Linked DNA regions of Diceros bicornis minor. The protein of the gene in region 2 interacts with the protein of the main gene of each other region in a pairwise test. Links are inferred from orthologs where the notes say so. Each region holds a gene or a part of one and is shown on either strand. Other genes may lie near its edges.

What was found.
Region 1: the proteins of CEP76 (region 2) and TTC21A interact in a two-hybrid assay, tested with the Homo sapiens proteins (2 studies listed by BioGRID). The two-hybrid records come from large-scale screens. The link is inferred for Diceros bicornis minor from reciprocal best matches to the Homo sapiens genes CEP76 and TTC21A.

What each region holds. Positions count from the first base shown.
Region 1 is NC_080741.1:41,867,656-41,874,580, forward strand, and holds the start of TTC21A (tetratricopeptide repeat protein 21A), read left to right. Parts: upstream 1-3,832; 5' UTR 3,833-3,859; coding exon 3,860-3,886; intron 3,887-5,188; coding exon 5,189-5,318; intron 5,319-6,160; coding exon 6,161-6,271; intron 6,272-6,925. UniProt on the Homo sapiens protein: Intraflagellar transport (IFT)-associated protein required for spermatogenesis. Required for sperm flagellar formation and intraflagellar transport.
Region 2 is NC_080755.1:10,841,324-10,848,718, reverse strand, and holds the start of CEP76 (centrosomal protein of 76 kDa), read right to left. Parts: upstream 3,050-7,395; 5' UTR 2,839-3,049; coding exon 2,776-2,838; intron 1,739-2,775; coding exon 1,583-1,738; intron 531-1,582; coding exon 449-530; intron 1-448. UniProt on the Homo sapiens protein: Centrosomal protein involved in regulation of centriole duplication. Required to limit centriole duplication to once per cell cycle by preventing centriole reduplication.

The sequences.
Region 1 (6,925 bases), on a different chromosome or scaffold from region 2:
GGCCATATGGAGACAGGGTGGTGCAGGCCTGTGGGGATGCTGCCCCAGAGGGCTGGGCTGGGGCCTCTGGAAAGCTGGAGGGTTTACCAGAAAGGTTTCGATGTGGACAGGAAGGGAGGTCCCCAGGATAGATGGAACCAGGGCTGTGCCCAGAAAGACAGAGTGGGGAAGGCAGCCTGTAGCAGATCCCAGAGGGCCCCCCAAGCCTGTGGTGACAGATCCAAACTCAGTCCAGCAGGCGGTGGGACTGCTGAGGAGTGGGTGGCTGAGGGGAGCAGACCCCAGGGACAGGAATGAGCCCGAGCCAAGGAGCCTGTGAGCAGTGCCCAATCCTGCCTCACGTTCCCGCCTCTCCTCCCATGCAGGACATCTCCTCCAGGAGCCATTCCCAGCCCTGCCCTGCCCTGAGCTCCCCAGCTCACTGCCATCTCCAAAAGCACAACAGCAGGCTGCCGGCGGTGGCAGAAATCCATTTCACAGGCCCCATTTACAGAGCCTCGCCCAGACAAGGCCGCCTTTATTCCCAAGCCCACGACCCTGACGCTGGGCCCCACACCCTGAGGCCTTTGGTGTGAGCACTTGATGTCCTGCTGGTCAGGCCCCAGCCCAGAGGGCACAGGGCTCATGCGGCCTCAGGTTCTGGATGGCACCCACAAGGAGAAGGCCCTGTGGCTTCCGCCACCCACCAGCCCCTCCAGTCCTGGAGTCTTTAAGCTGAAGGAGAGCTCACCACTGAGCCTTTGCAACAAGGCCAATTTGCCTCTGGAATTAGGATTCCCTCCCGGGAGTGTGACCAATTGAGTCCCTGTTGCCACTTGCAGAAGCTGCCATGGCTTCCAATGAGAGTGAACCCAGAAACCAAGTCCAGCTCTAGATGGCCTGGCCCAGAGGGCAAGTGCTCTGAGCCTGCACCTTGTCCCTTCAGCAGACAGCTGGGACAAGGCAGCTTTTGAAAATCATAGGACAGTTAATCAGGGATAGCTTGTGGGAGGTGCTCCTCCCTGCTCAGGGCCATTTCTAGGCCACTCCACCTCCCTCAGGTGAGGCCCCTGCTCCTGGGGCTGGTGCCGCCCAGCTATCTGCCCGCTACCCTCCTCAACATTATGAGGCAGCTGCCCTCCATCATTAATGAGGTCCAGAGGCTCAGGCCCCCAAGCCCCAGGCCTGGCCCTCTCCCAGCCCATTCAGCGCCTCTATCCGCCCTCTCCCGTGGCTTGTCCTCTGTCTGGCTGTACTGCACTGCCCTTGTCCTGGGCCTTGTCATCGTCCACTATGGCTCCACAGCGGAAATAATCCTTGCTGCCTACCACACCCCTACTCCCTCAACAAGCACCACTCTCTGTCCAGCTCTCCTGGGGGCTCCCATCACACCCGACCCTGCAGCCCCACAATGCATGCTGCTCTCAAAACACTCCCTGCTCTATTCCCCACCAGGGAACCTAATGTAATTAACAGTGACAGAGGTTTATACTTCCTGAGGGTTGGCTGAGTGCCAGGGGACTGCACCATCTGCTTTACCTATCATTTAACCCTTTTACTAAGCCTAACTTACAGATGAGGGAAAAACACTCAGTTATTCAGTAATCCAACCCAGAGCCCGCTCCCAACCACTGCCCTGGAACAGCCATTTCCTGGGAAATCCTCCACTGCTCTAAGCTTGCTGAGGGCAGGAACTTCTCCCATGTCCCTGGCACACAGTGGAAACCCCAATATTTATAGAAGGCAGCACACTTGTTCTTTAGTTTTTAAAAATGTAAGTAGGTAATGTCACACTTCCACTTAAAACCTCCCAATGGCTCCACATCTCGGAATAAAATCCTAGATCCTCAGGACAACATGCAAGGCCCCACACAATCTAGGCTCAGTTGTTACCACTCTCCTTCCACTGACCAGCCCATCCAAGCATACCAGCCTCCCCTCCTTCCTTCTCTTCAAACACAACAAGCACCACCCCACCTCAGGGACCCGCTCTGCCCAAATATCTGTACTGTCCACTCCTTCCTTCCTTCCAAGGTGTCTGTTCTAGTGTTCCTTGATCAGAGCCTTTCCTGACCCCTCTATGCAAAATAGCACACACTCATCACTCTGTATCCCTTTACCTTGCTTTATTTTTCTCCCTAGCAATGATCACCACCCACCATATATTTCTCTTTCTTGTCTCTCTCCCTTCTCTCCCTGCTTGCCACAAAGTATGTGCTCACAAATACCTGTTTTTGTGAATGAAGATCTACAATCCCTCTCCACTCTGTCCCTCTCCAATAGGCCCTTCCTATCTTCACTCCCACCACTGCCCCACCCCTCTCTCCTGCCAATATCCTCAATTCCTTTGCCTTCCATCAAACCTGTTGGAAGACTCTCTGGGCTGGATGCATTCCACCGTCCACCTTTACCGTCTGATGCCTCACCATGATGTCCACTAGAGAAAGCTCATCACTGAGCACAAACCCTGCCAACTCCGAGTTGCTTTCCTTTCAGGAAACCCCTTCTTTAGCCCTCCCCCCTGGGAGCCGATAACAGATCCTGCCAGCACAATACAGAGACCACTCAAGAGCCAGGCACCAAACTGACAAGCTTGCCTGCCCACACCCACCCCTGCATCCGTCCACTGTGCGCCAGGAAAAAGGGGGCCCTTCGTCGCTGCGCTCCGGGGTCAAAGGCCCTCCTATCTCTCACCTCGGTTACAGCCCCTCCCACTCTGCCGTACAAGTCTCGATCCCAACTCTCCACCTGGCTGCGGGCCCCTCTCGTCACCTCACATTCTAGCAACCCAACTCCGTCTCCACTTCCCCAGGACTGCTTGTCCAGACCTCCTTGTAGCAACACCGAGAGGACGTTCTCAGCCCCGGCCTTCCGGCTCCTATCTGCAATGTTTCGCCCTGGGTACCGCCCCCTGCTGCAAACGCTCTCCCCGTGCCTTCTGCAGCATTCTCCTGGTTCTCCCGCTTCCCACTTTCCCCGGCTGGTTCGCACTGGTCCTCGATCCCCCGAAGCTTCTCCGAAACCACGAGAGGCGGGATGCGCGCCGGCCGGTTCCCCCGCAGCTGGCGCCCACTTGGTTACCCTGACCCCCTGGATCCAAGGGCGGGGACTGCCGAGGTTTCGGCGTTGCTGGCTCTCTCTCCGGGCCCAGCACGGAGCGCAGCACGCAGCAGGCAATCATAAATGTGACCTAAGTGCACAAATGCGTCCCAACTGGACCTGGTGCAATTTTCACCAGAGAAAAGTGCCATTCCGGGACGGCCTGGCCCAACCTGACGAGGAAACGCTCCCGCTTCCTGCACAGCTGGCACTTGGGGCGGGCACTGGGCCGACCGCGACCGCAGACGGGCTGGGGGCCAGGGGCGCCGCAGGGCCGCCTCTCGCAGGCGGCTCCCACCGGCAAAGGGCGCCCCCCTCCCCCCCGGGCGGCTGCACTAGGGCCGGGACCCCGCCGCTGCCGCCCTCAGGCCGGCGACCAGGAGTCCCGGTGAGGGCGCCCCGCCAGTGACCGGCGCCGCGGGGCAACTCACCCCGTGCAGGTGGAAGCCCTCGGCGCCGCCCGCGGGCTGCTCGGCGCTGGCGCCCAGGCCCATGGCAGCGGCCCGGATGCGGCGCCCCAGTCCCGTAACCCGCTGCCCGACCTGGCGCCACCAGCGCGAGCTCGCCCTCTCGGCGCTCGATTACCAGCGCCTGGTCACGTGGGCGCCTGGCTGCTCCCACCCCTGACTCTGACGCCCTTAGCAACTGGCCGGCAACACCGTTTCCAAGGACGCGCGCGCCTCCCGCTTCCGGCCACGAGAGGCGTGCCCAGGACTCTGAAGGGGCATCTGGCTTCGCGCGGCACCACCAGACCCGGACTCGGAGCCACAAGCTCCCGGAGATGAGCGGCGATGACTCCGCCCTTATGGTGCGTGGCCCGGGCGCTGCCCGCCCGCTCCCTGCGGGATCCTCCGCCCCTGGCCCGGTGACCCCCGACCCTGCTTCTCTCCTGCCACCTCTCTGACCGCTCCTGCTGTCCGCTTTACCTGCCTTCCGCCGTCCCCGGCCGCTGCAGGCGGTCCTGGCCTCTTCTCGCCTCGCTCTCCCTGGAGAGTGCATCCTCTCTGGTGCTCTCAGTGCGCCCTGAGCCCCAAATCAGCATCCCCACCCAGCCCTGTCCGCGAGCTCCCCCAAACCAACGCATCCAAAACCCATTTCCATCCAAAACCCATCTTTGTCATCTTGCCATCGTCTCCCCCTCCCTTGCTTGTGAATCTTCTGTGTCCCCCAACTCGGTAGATGGTACCGCCGTTTGGTCCCCAGTCTTAACTCTTCCCCATGCCCAACTCCTGGTCCTATCTATCAGCAAGAAATGTCAGCTCCTAAGTGTCTCCTGATTATCTCCTAGACCAGGATCACCCCATCTCTCCCCTGGGCACCTGCAACAGTCCCCCTCCAGACTGGTTTCTCTGCTTCAGCCCTCTTTACCAGCAGTTCCCCCTACTGCCACTACCACCACCACCACCACACACACACAGACGCACTCAGCAGCCAGAGTGGTTTTTGCAAAAACACACATCTGAACACATCCCTCCCCCTGCTTAAAACCATTCCAACTGCTTCCTATTACCCTCAGGATGATGTCTGGGCCCTTTCATATAGCCCACAAAGCCGTTTACAATCCAACCACGGCTATCCCCAACCCCAGCACCCACAAACCTTAGGGGAAGTGACACTTTGCTTTGAAATCTCACCCTCTATTACACGTGACCTTTGTCAAGCCATGGTATCCATGGGCTTCAGCTTCCTTAACTGTGAAGGATATAGAGAGGATGATGCATAAGATAATGGATGTAAAGCCCTTGATACAGTTCCCAAGAGGTGGTTAGCCCACAGTATCTTGTAACTCTAACTATTGGTGTAATTATTATTATTATCGGTCCTCTCTCTCTCCCCTTATTCCCTTCCTAAGGCAAAGCTTGAGTTGAAGTCTCCATCACATTTGAACCAGAATCTGTGGATAATTCCAAAACAAACACCTCCAAACTCCTTCCCGGGGAAACGGCATGGAGCTACTGCTGGGGCTGGTCAAGGGCAGGATGCGGCCTAAATGTTCTCTTCCTCTTCCCTTTGCAGATTTGAGGAAGAGCGGGCAATAGGGGAGGGAGTGCGTCAGAACAGAGACACAGAAGGGACTGGGGTTATTGCAACTGTGTCTTCCTCCCTGCAGGCTGGGATCATTTACTACAGCCAGGAAAAGTACTTCCGCCATGTGCAGCAGGCTGCGGCCATGGGCCTGGAGAAATTCAGCAATGACCCCGTGCTGCAGTTCTTTAAAGCCTATGGAGTCCTCAGGGAAGGTAAGGACTCACCAGTATTGGCCTCGTGACCCCAGGCACCACCCCCACTAACACTCTGGCTCCACCTGGTTGCCTGCTTATACCCCAGTCATGTTTCCGTGGAAACAGTCTTACACTCAGTAACTGGATTCCCAGGTTAATTCACAGAAGCCTGTGTAATTCACATCTAGTTGACTTTTGAGACCTCAGAGAGTTCACTACTCCTGCTCTGCACCTCAGTTTCCCTATCTGTAAAATGAGTGTGTGGAGAGCTGATTGCACGATTATTGAACTAATCCCAGGCTCAGAAGTTGCAAGCCAATAGTGCAGGAAAAGGAGGAAGCGGTAGGTGTGGGTACAGGCGGGTATGATACAGGAGCAGAGAGAGGACTGGGGCCCACGCACGTGCTGACTTGCTGACACTCAGAAAGTGGTCCTGGGCTGGGGGCCGGCTGAGTGTTCCATAGGCAACGTCAGTGGATGTGGAGGGATAAATGTAATCGGTGGCTCTTGAGCAGCTAGCTGAGAATGCCCTGAGGTCCCTCTTCAGAACTGACCCCCAGCCAAAACTCCCGGCCTCACAGGTATCCCTGCGAATACTCACAGGTACATCTCTCAGCTCCAAGCTCTCCAGCCCCCGGCAGCCTGGGCTCTGGTGCCAGCAGCCCTCTCAGAGAGCTTGTCTTCCGGGAACTTGGGCCATTGGGGACCTTTTGCACCAGTTAGTCCTCTGGTTCTGGGTGAAACCAGGTGGTGACAAGCCTTGGGTCAGCCCTGATAAGGGCTCCCATGTGTCTGCCTTGGAGCTTCCTGTCCTCTGGGCCTGGTGCCCAAGAATATAACCACATGGGCTTTCTTTGCAGAGCGCCTCCAGGATGCCATCAACAACCTGGAGAGCATCCGGAATCACCCAGACGTGTCCCTGTGCTCCATCATGGCCCTCATTTATGCTCACAAGCGCTGTGAAACCATCGGTGAGTACACCCATGCTCAGCTAGGCCTGAACCTGCTGGGGAAAGAGAGCTCTGCTCCAGACACACAGCCCCTCAAGGGCTGCCGAAGGAAGTGTGTGCGCTGGTGACTGCAGATGCTGTTGGCCAGCGAGGAGTGGCTGCTGCTGCCCTCCCGCGGGAGGCCTCAAAGAAGACCCCATACCCAGGCGCAAGCAAGTGGGAGCCACAGGCAGAGAGCATGACAGTGGGAGGAGTCCTCCCTCCAGATCCCAAGAGTTGGAGAGACACCCTGCTTTTCTCTGCCAAGACCTTCTTGAGAAAAATCAAGCTGATATAAGTAACTCTGTCCCTAATCTCCACCTCTCAAGAGTCAGGGAGAGATTCCAAGAGACTACAACTACTATTTCCTCCCACCCAGAGTGGATTGTGGGCCTGGGGTGGGAGATTTAAGCGTAGTCTGTCTGCTCAGCAAACTGCAGGGCACAGAGGAGAAAAGATAAATCCCAGAAAGCAAACCCAAGTCCAGGCCTGGGCAGTCTCTGTGGCATCACAGGGGCCGATGTTGCTGGTTTCCAGGCCCCAGGCTGGCATGTAGTCAGCTACATATTTTGAGAGGCCCAGAGTGTCCAGTGCAGCTCCCTGGGCCCTCAGTGCTCCCTGCAGGACCAGGCAGAC
Region 2 (7,395 bases):
ATATGATCTCTTTTTCTGAGTTTACATTCTGGCTACTTTCTCTCAGCTAGAAAGGAGTCAGAGCAAAAGTTTAGGATACCTTTGCTTTTTAGTTGCTTATCCAACATTCCTTCACCTCCACAAACCAACTCAGACAATTATCAACTCAGCAAGTATAGTCCTTAGACAATTATATTACCACTAAAAAAGCAAGGCCATATACTTTTTATAAAATATATTATTAAAACACGAGAAACAGCTGGTCCTATTTTTGCTTCCACTCTGCTATATATTAAATCTTCTGATATACTTCATGCAAATAAACATTTTGATGATTAGTCACAAAAATGTAAGTATTTCATTCTGGGGAAAAAAATTGAAATGCTTTCTATCAAATACCAAACACTACACCACATCTATCCACAGTACTATCCACAACTAAATTAATGTTAACAAGAAATACACATACTTTTTTTTAACAACGTTGACTGTTTATCAGTAAAACAAACAGGTTGTTTTGGAGAAGAAGGGAGTTCTTGATCAACACTGTCCTAAAAAAGCAGAAAAAAATCAAAACAAGTTAAAAACAAAAATTATAGTTAAACAAGGAAATGCTAATAATGGGACTTAGAACTGAACCACAAGTAGATAAGCTAAAGCCCCTCAAAAAACCCTTTATTTTCCTAGTATTATTAAAATAACGAAAAGCCTGCAAAAAAGATGATGCAGCCGGTCACTCCCAAAGTCTAATATTAAGGAATTAAGTTGACTTCCAGCAATGTCCATGGAATGCTAAAAACAAATCCTTAATACCTTAAACGAAGTTAAACTTTCTCTAACCTCATATAACATTTGGCTTATGATTCCACCATGAATTGATTTTAATAAGGAAGTGACGTTCACACAGCAGAAGCTGTTACTAGGTCAATTTTTTAACAAATGGGTTTATAAACGTCACAAACCAAAAAAGGATGCTGTATTAAAATACTTATTCCCTGGCGTATTATGAAGTCCATCCAATTTTTACATTATATTACCCAGGTATTGAGGTCACAGTTTCTAATTATTGCCTCATTTTCAAAAGAAGGCCTACTTACTAATTTGTGCACTGAGAGGCTACCATCTCACTACTGACCTATTTGTGTGAAAAGATTTGAAGGTTCTTACACAATTATTTTCTTAGAGAAACTGATAATTTGTTAATCACAGAGAATATAGTTCCAAAAGAGTGTATTTATTTTTAAAATAAGCTTAATCTAAAAAATTATAGAACAATACTAGTGAAAAAGAACTAGGTTATGGCTAACTAATTTGACTAAAATATATATACTTAAAGTTATAGACCTAGAGAATAACAAGAGAAAATTCTGTCACTGTAAAGAAAGGAAAATGGTACATAACCCCAATTTCATTGATACATAATCCTACTTGCTACATTCAAGGGTAGAATTAGCTTATACTTCAAAGATATTACTAGACAAAATGGTCTTATTCTAAAGTGGTTTTACTAACAGGAGAGGCCCCAAATATAGACCCTATAACCAGCATTAAGCATGAGAATACACTTATACTATCAAATTTTTTCCCCTAAAAGCTCACTCACAGTAACAAAATTAAGTTCTTTCATCACATCATCAATGATTCCCCGACGTCTAAGGGCTTTAATCAAATCATCTGTTGATAACTGTTGTTGATCAGGTGCCAATTCTTCACGTATTGTCTCAGCAAGGATTTCTCTTATTCTGCCATGGACATCCATCTATGCAGAAAACTCGCATTACAATTTACAACATTACAAAGCAATCAAATATTGCCAATTAGGTAATTTCTTTCTAAAATACTGACTCAAAGAAAAAAATGGGAGAGTACACAGACTAAATTCAGGAAAGCTTCTTAAGCTAATAGTAAATGTAAAATTGTTACCAGAATTCAATGAGAATAAAGGTAAAATCTTTTAAAGGAAAAACCAAAGAAAAAATTTTTTAAAGATGAATTTTTTTTAGTACAAATTCTAGAAATAATCTCTGATTATCTACTACCCTCGTTACCATTTCCCCACAAATAACACTCAACCAAAACAAATCTTTGGAGAGAGAATACTGTATAATCAAAATAACACAAACCTGGAGAAGACAATCAAAGTATGAATTTCAGCTTTCAACTTACTAGATGTGACCTCCAGTTAACCTGTTTACCCTTTATGGATCGGGAAATAACAGTGCCCTGTCAAGACTGTGAGGCGTACACAAAAGTCGGCAAACAAGCGCACAATACACGGAGTTCGTGGTACAGCAGCTTACTGCATTCAGCTGAGCGCCTCCAAGACAACGTTCTTCCTGAGCCCCGAAGGGTCACAAATACTTTCATTACAAATCCTTTAGTAACGTCTCTTTCATGACTTAAGAACTGCTGATTTGTTTCAACTTCAACGACACGGCAAGGTTCACCCTTAAAGTAATTCTAATTCCCACCTCTGAATATAAACCTGCTCCAAACACAACTTATACTCGACCTGACTTCCAGAAATCCCCGATAAACGCTTCATTTCCACACTGTCCTACGACACTAACACCGCTCCATCACCTCAGACTCTTACTGGCACTTTCTGGGCTCGCTCTTTCACCGAGACTAGAAAGTTCCTCTGGCGTCAAACCCGACGCTCTGCGCATCCCGCGCTCCGCGTCTCAGCCTTTGCTCGAGTCCCCGGCAAACAGGTGCCGCCGTCGGCCGGGCCAAGGGACGCCAGGCCGGGCGCTCAGGCCACACGGCGGGCAAGAGCGCGCCCGCTGCCCTCACCTTGCTCAGCTGCTGGTGGATGAGCTGCTTCAGCTCGGAGGCTTTCTCCGGGGGCAGGGACATGCTGCAGCCGGCGCCTCGCCGCCAATTCTCCCCACTTCAGGCGCCCCGACCCGCCCCGGAGCGCTGGTCGTGGCTGAGCACAAAGCCGGCGCCACCGCTCGCCTCCGCAGCTCCCGGGGGCGCGACGCCGCGTCAAGTGCGAGCTGGGCGGCGGAGGTGCCCAACTGTTGTTTTCAAACGGGGGCGGACAACCAGCCTGGGGACTGTCCCTCGCTCTGCCTGATCATCTCCGCCCGCAGCTGCCCCTCCCTCGGGGTCCTCACCCCGCGACCTCAGGGCACCCCATCATCTTGCCTTGCCAGAGTCTCCAGATGCGCCGCCCGCTCCCAACTCTCACCCTGTCGGGGTCCAATTCTGTCCTCTGGACCGGCAAGTATGTGGACGGGCCCCTGAGGACCCCGCGCCCAAGGACTCGAAGGACCCCGCCCGCCTGGCTCCGCCCCTCCCGCCTGGCCCCGCCCCGCCTCACTCGCGTCGCGTGGGGCTCCGGGGACTCCGCGCGGGGGCACGGTGCTGAATTTGCGGTTTTCGTTTTCTTTCCTCCCCCGTGGTTTCTCCGTTCCTCCGACTTCGGGACCACCATTTTGTTCCCTGCGGAGAATCGGTTCCCGACTTCGCGGGTTTCACTCTCCTGATGGTGAGTCCCTGGTTTCTCGAACTCTCCACTGCCCGGCTGGGGGCTGCTGCCCCTCCGGAGGCGCCTGTTTCCCGACTCGGGGTGCTTCACCCGGCCCTGGAGGAGTACTTGTTTCTTTTCCAGGTGTTCAGCTTGCGCTGAAAACATATGGAGGATGTGGCTGGAGGCGTCGGTCCGAATAGAACCTTTGTTGGCGCTGTCACCAAACGTATCTAAGTCTGCGGTTTGTAGTCTTTGTTGACTGTAGAACGTAATGTGTTTGGATGTGACAGATACGTTGTACATATGTTGTGCGGGTCATTGTCTTTACGTTTTATCCTAGGAAATCTTTTTTCAGCTAATTTTAGAGTCATTCTTAAGCTAGCAAATCATCGTCGTTAACCATAAAACTACAGATAGGGTAATAAAAGTAAGTTTTGCTAGTAAACACACGGTTTTATCGCTCTTAAAATTACCCGTATTCATTCATTGTTTTAATAAACATTCTGTTATGTGAAAATGTTAGAATAAGACTAGGTCCTTGTGCTCAAGAAGCTTGCAGTCTAATTGGAAACACATGTAAATCAATAAGGGCAATAAATGCTAAGCTAGAAATTTGAGAAGGATATAGAAAGGCCCTAAGATGTATTGGGAGGAAGAGGGTCACAAGGACCTGTTAAGAAAAGCTTCATATGTGGAATCTCAAAAAAAAAAAAAAGAAGCAACAAACTCGTAGGTACAGAGAACAGATTGGTGGTTGCCAGAGTGGGTGGGGGTGGTTGGGTGAAATGGGTGAAGGTAATCAAAAGGTACGGACCTCCAGTTACAAATAAGTCCTGAGGATGTAATGCACAGCATGATGACTATAGTTAACAGTACTGTATTATATACTTGAGAGTTGCTAAGAGAGTAGATCTTAAATGTTCTCATTACAAGAAAAAAAAATGTGTAACTATGTGTGGTGATGGAGGTTAACTAAACTTACTGTGGTAATCATTTCACAGTATATGTGTGTATCAAATTGTTGTGTTGTGTGTTTAAAACTGATACAATGTTATATGTCAGTTATAGCTCAACTTAAAAAAAAGTGATGGTAATTGAAAAATCACTTTTTGGCAATTTTCATTGTAGTAATGCACACAAGAAATAGCAATGATTCCAAAAATAATGTGCAATAGAGTACTGAGGAAGAAAATTTTACATCATTTCAAAGTATCTCCCTGAAACATATGTATTAATCACAAAAGGGAAAAAGTATGTTTGCGGGAGATACCTGGAAGCTTCGTAGCGAAAGTAATGTCTCAAAGATTATTGGTGGTAATGTTGACAGTTATCAGTGGAGTGGTGAAGAGGGAAGCCACGCTGGACTGTGTTGAATAAATGGGAGAAGAGGTGGAGATGTGTATGTGTACGTATTCACTCGTTAATTCAGAGATAAAGCTCCTGCATATGTTTTAGTGGACAGCTGTGGGGAATTTTGGCTGTGGAGGGACACTGAGAAGTAAGGTGGTAGCTAAGGGGGTATGTGAGATCAAGGGAGAGTTTTTTAGAAGGAAAGATATTAGAGCGTTTGTATATGCTGACGGGAAGAATCCAATAGTGAGGAAAAGATGGATGATACAGGAGAGTGAGGGTCTACCCAAAGCAGCAAAATCTTTGAGAAGAGGAAAGGGAATTACAGGAGAGAACCAGGGGATTAGTAGGTGACAGCAGTGAGAAGTGAGAGAGCACTCTCAGGGACCCAGAAAAATAAGATGAAGGCCAAAAAAGAAGCAATTGCTGGAAGAAGGCAAAGGAGGCGCTACATTAAAGAGATGCAGTGAAGAGCGAGTCAAGGAAAATTAGTCGTGTATTAGATGTGGGTGGTCAGGGAAAGGGAAGAAGGTTCCTGGTTTAGGTAGTTGGGTGAATTACAAAATACAAAATATGGGAAGAAGTTTGGATAAAAGTTTGGTTTTGTACATGTTGAATGTGAGTTGCCTGTGACGTAACCATGTGGAGATACCCATTAGGCTCTGGAGTTCACCTTTAAGTCATGGGGATAAATGTGTGTGTGTGTGTGTTTAGTGTGAAAAGAAGCTCACTCCAACCTTTAGGCACTAACAAAGCAAATGGAAAGAAGACCCAAGAGCACTTTTGTTCATACCTCACAGCCTTTACGCTTGCTTTCCCACCGCCTGGAATAGTCTTTTCCCTGGTCTTTGTGGGGCTCCCTCCCTCACCTCTTGCAGGTCCATAGTTACTTGTCGCGTGAAGTGAGTCTTTCCTTGATCACTCTGTTTAAAATTTCAACCAACCGCATAACACACACTCTCACTCGCTTAATTTTTCTCCATAGTACTTACCACTGTATATTTTACTATTTATTTTGTTTTTTACAGTAAACCACTCCCTCACTAGAATGGAAACTCCACAAGGGCAGGAACTTTTGTCAATTTGTTTTACTGCATTCCCAGTGCCTAGAGCAATGATTGACACATAATAGGTCATCAGTAAGTGTTAAAGCAATAGTGTCAAAGATGGTGGAGGCCCTGCTGACACCTCAGTTGCAGCTAATGAAAGAGTGGGTATCTAGCTGTGACGTGCCTGAGCATAAGCGTTCAGTTCTAGTGCTGTGATTACTGTCTTCTGTCTAAACTTTTAAAAGTGCTGCTAATTTTGATGACTTAACATATTTTTATTATTTCAGCCAGCTGTGTCTGTTGGAAATGTTGGCCAGCTTGCAGTAGATGTGATTATTTCTACACTGAGTATGTGTAAGATTGGTTACTTCTATACCGATTGTCTTGTGCCGATGGTTGGAAACAATCCGTATGCAACTGCAGAAGAAAATTCAACAGAACTCAGTACAAATGCTGAAGGTATGTAAGACTTCTGCATGTTTTATTCTACTACAAGGTAGAGTTGTTTTAAATTAGAAATAGAGGCTACAGATACTGTTTTGTAGCAAACATTACTTAGTGCCAGTTTTGTGCAGAATTTGCAATACAGTCACATTGTCCTATTCTCTTACATCCTGGTTTTAGTTCTTAGCCTTTTCTAAATGGCAACTCCTATGAGGGATGAGATTGTACTTGTATCTTTGGGTAGAATTTGAGAGTTCCAATTTTTTAACATGGGTTTTTTTTCCCTTTTATCCTCAGTTTTATTTTCTGTTCCCACTGGCACATGTAAGCATGACCTATACCAGGGAAAGGGGAAAAGAGAATTCCACTGGGCTCAGTCCTGTGAGTTTAATATGTGCTGCCTCATCTAAGCCTCATAGTCATCCCTCACATTCTTATAGAATCCATAATAATATGGTATCAGTAAGGCTCAGAGAGACTGAATTGCCTACTACTACTAGTAGGTGTATGCTTTTCCCACACCATAAATCTCCATAGTTCCTCATTGGACTAGCAAGCTTCGTTAGTCAGGGAACAGTTTCCTTTGCGCTGACCACTGTGTGTACGATGTGGGACTGCCCCGAGTGAGGGGAAAAGCTGTTGATCCTGAAGCCCAGGAGCATCAGTCACTTCATTCGATGGCTGACTGCTCTGTTGGCCTCTCTGTCTTCTGTTTACCATTTTAAGGTGAAAGCCAGAAGTGATAGAGGAACATGAAAAACCATTGGTGGAGTTAAAGACAAGTGAAGAAGCGTTTTATTTTTTGTCAGTTTTATTAACCATGTCATTAGGTTGCGATAATGAAATATACTTTCAAGAAATAACCTTAATATTGAAATTCCTGCAGGACAGATGGCTTTGTTAACACAAGACTGAATTTCAGCTATTTCTTAAAGGATAAGGACTATAAATGGTAGAACTAGAATTTACATTCTTTCACTGTTGATAACAGCTATCATTTATTGAGTATTTCCTATCAGCTGACCATCTTGTGTAATTACATGTATTGATTAGTTTAATCCTCACTGCTACTCCATAGGTAGTTTTGTAGTTGAG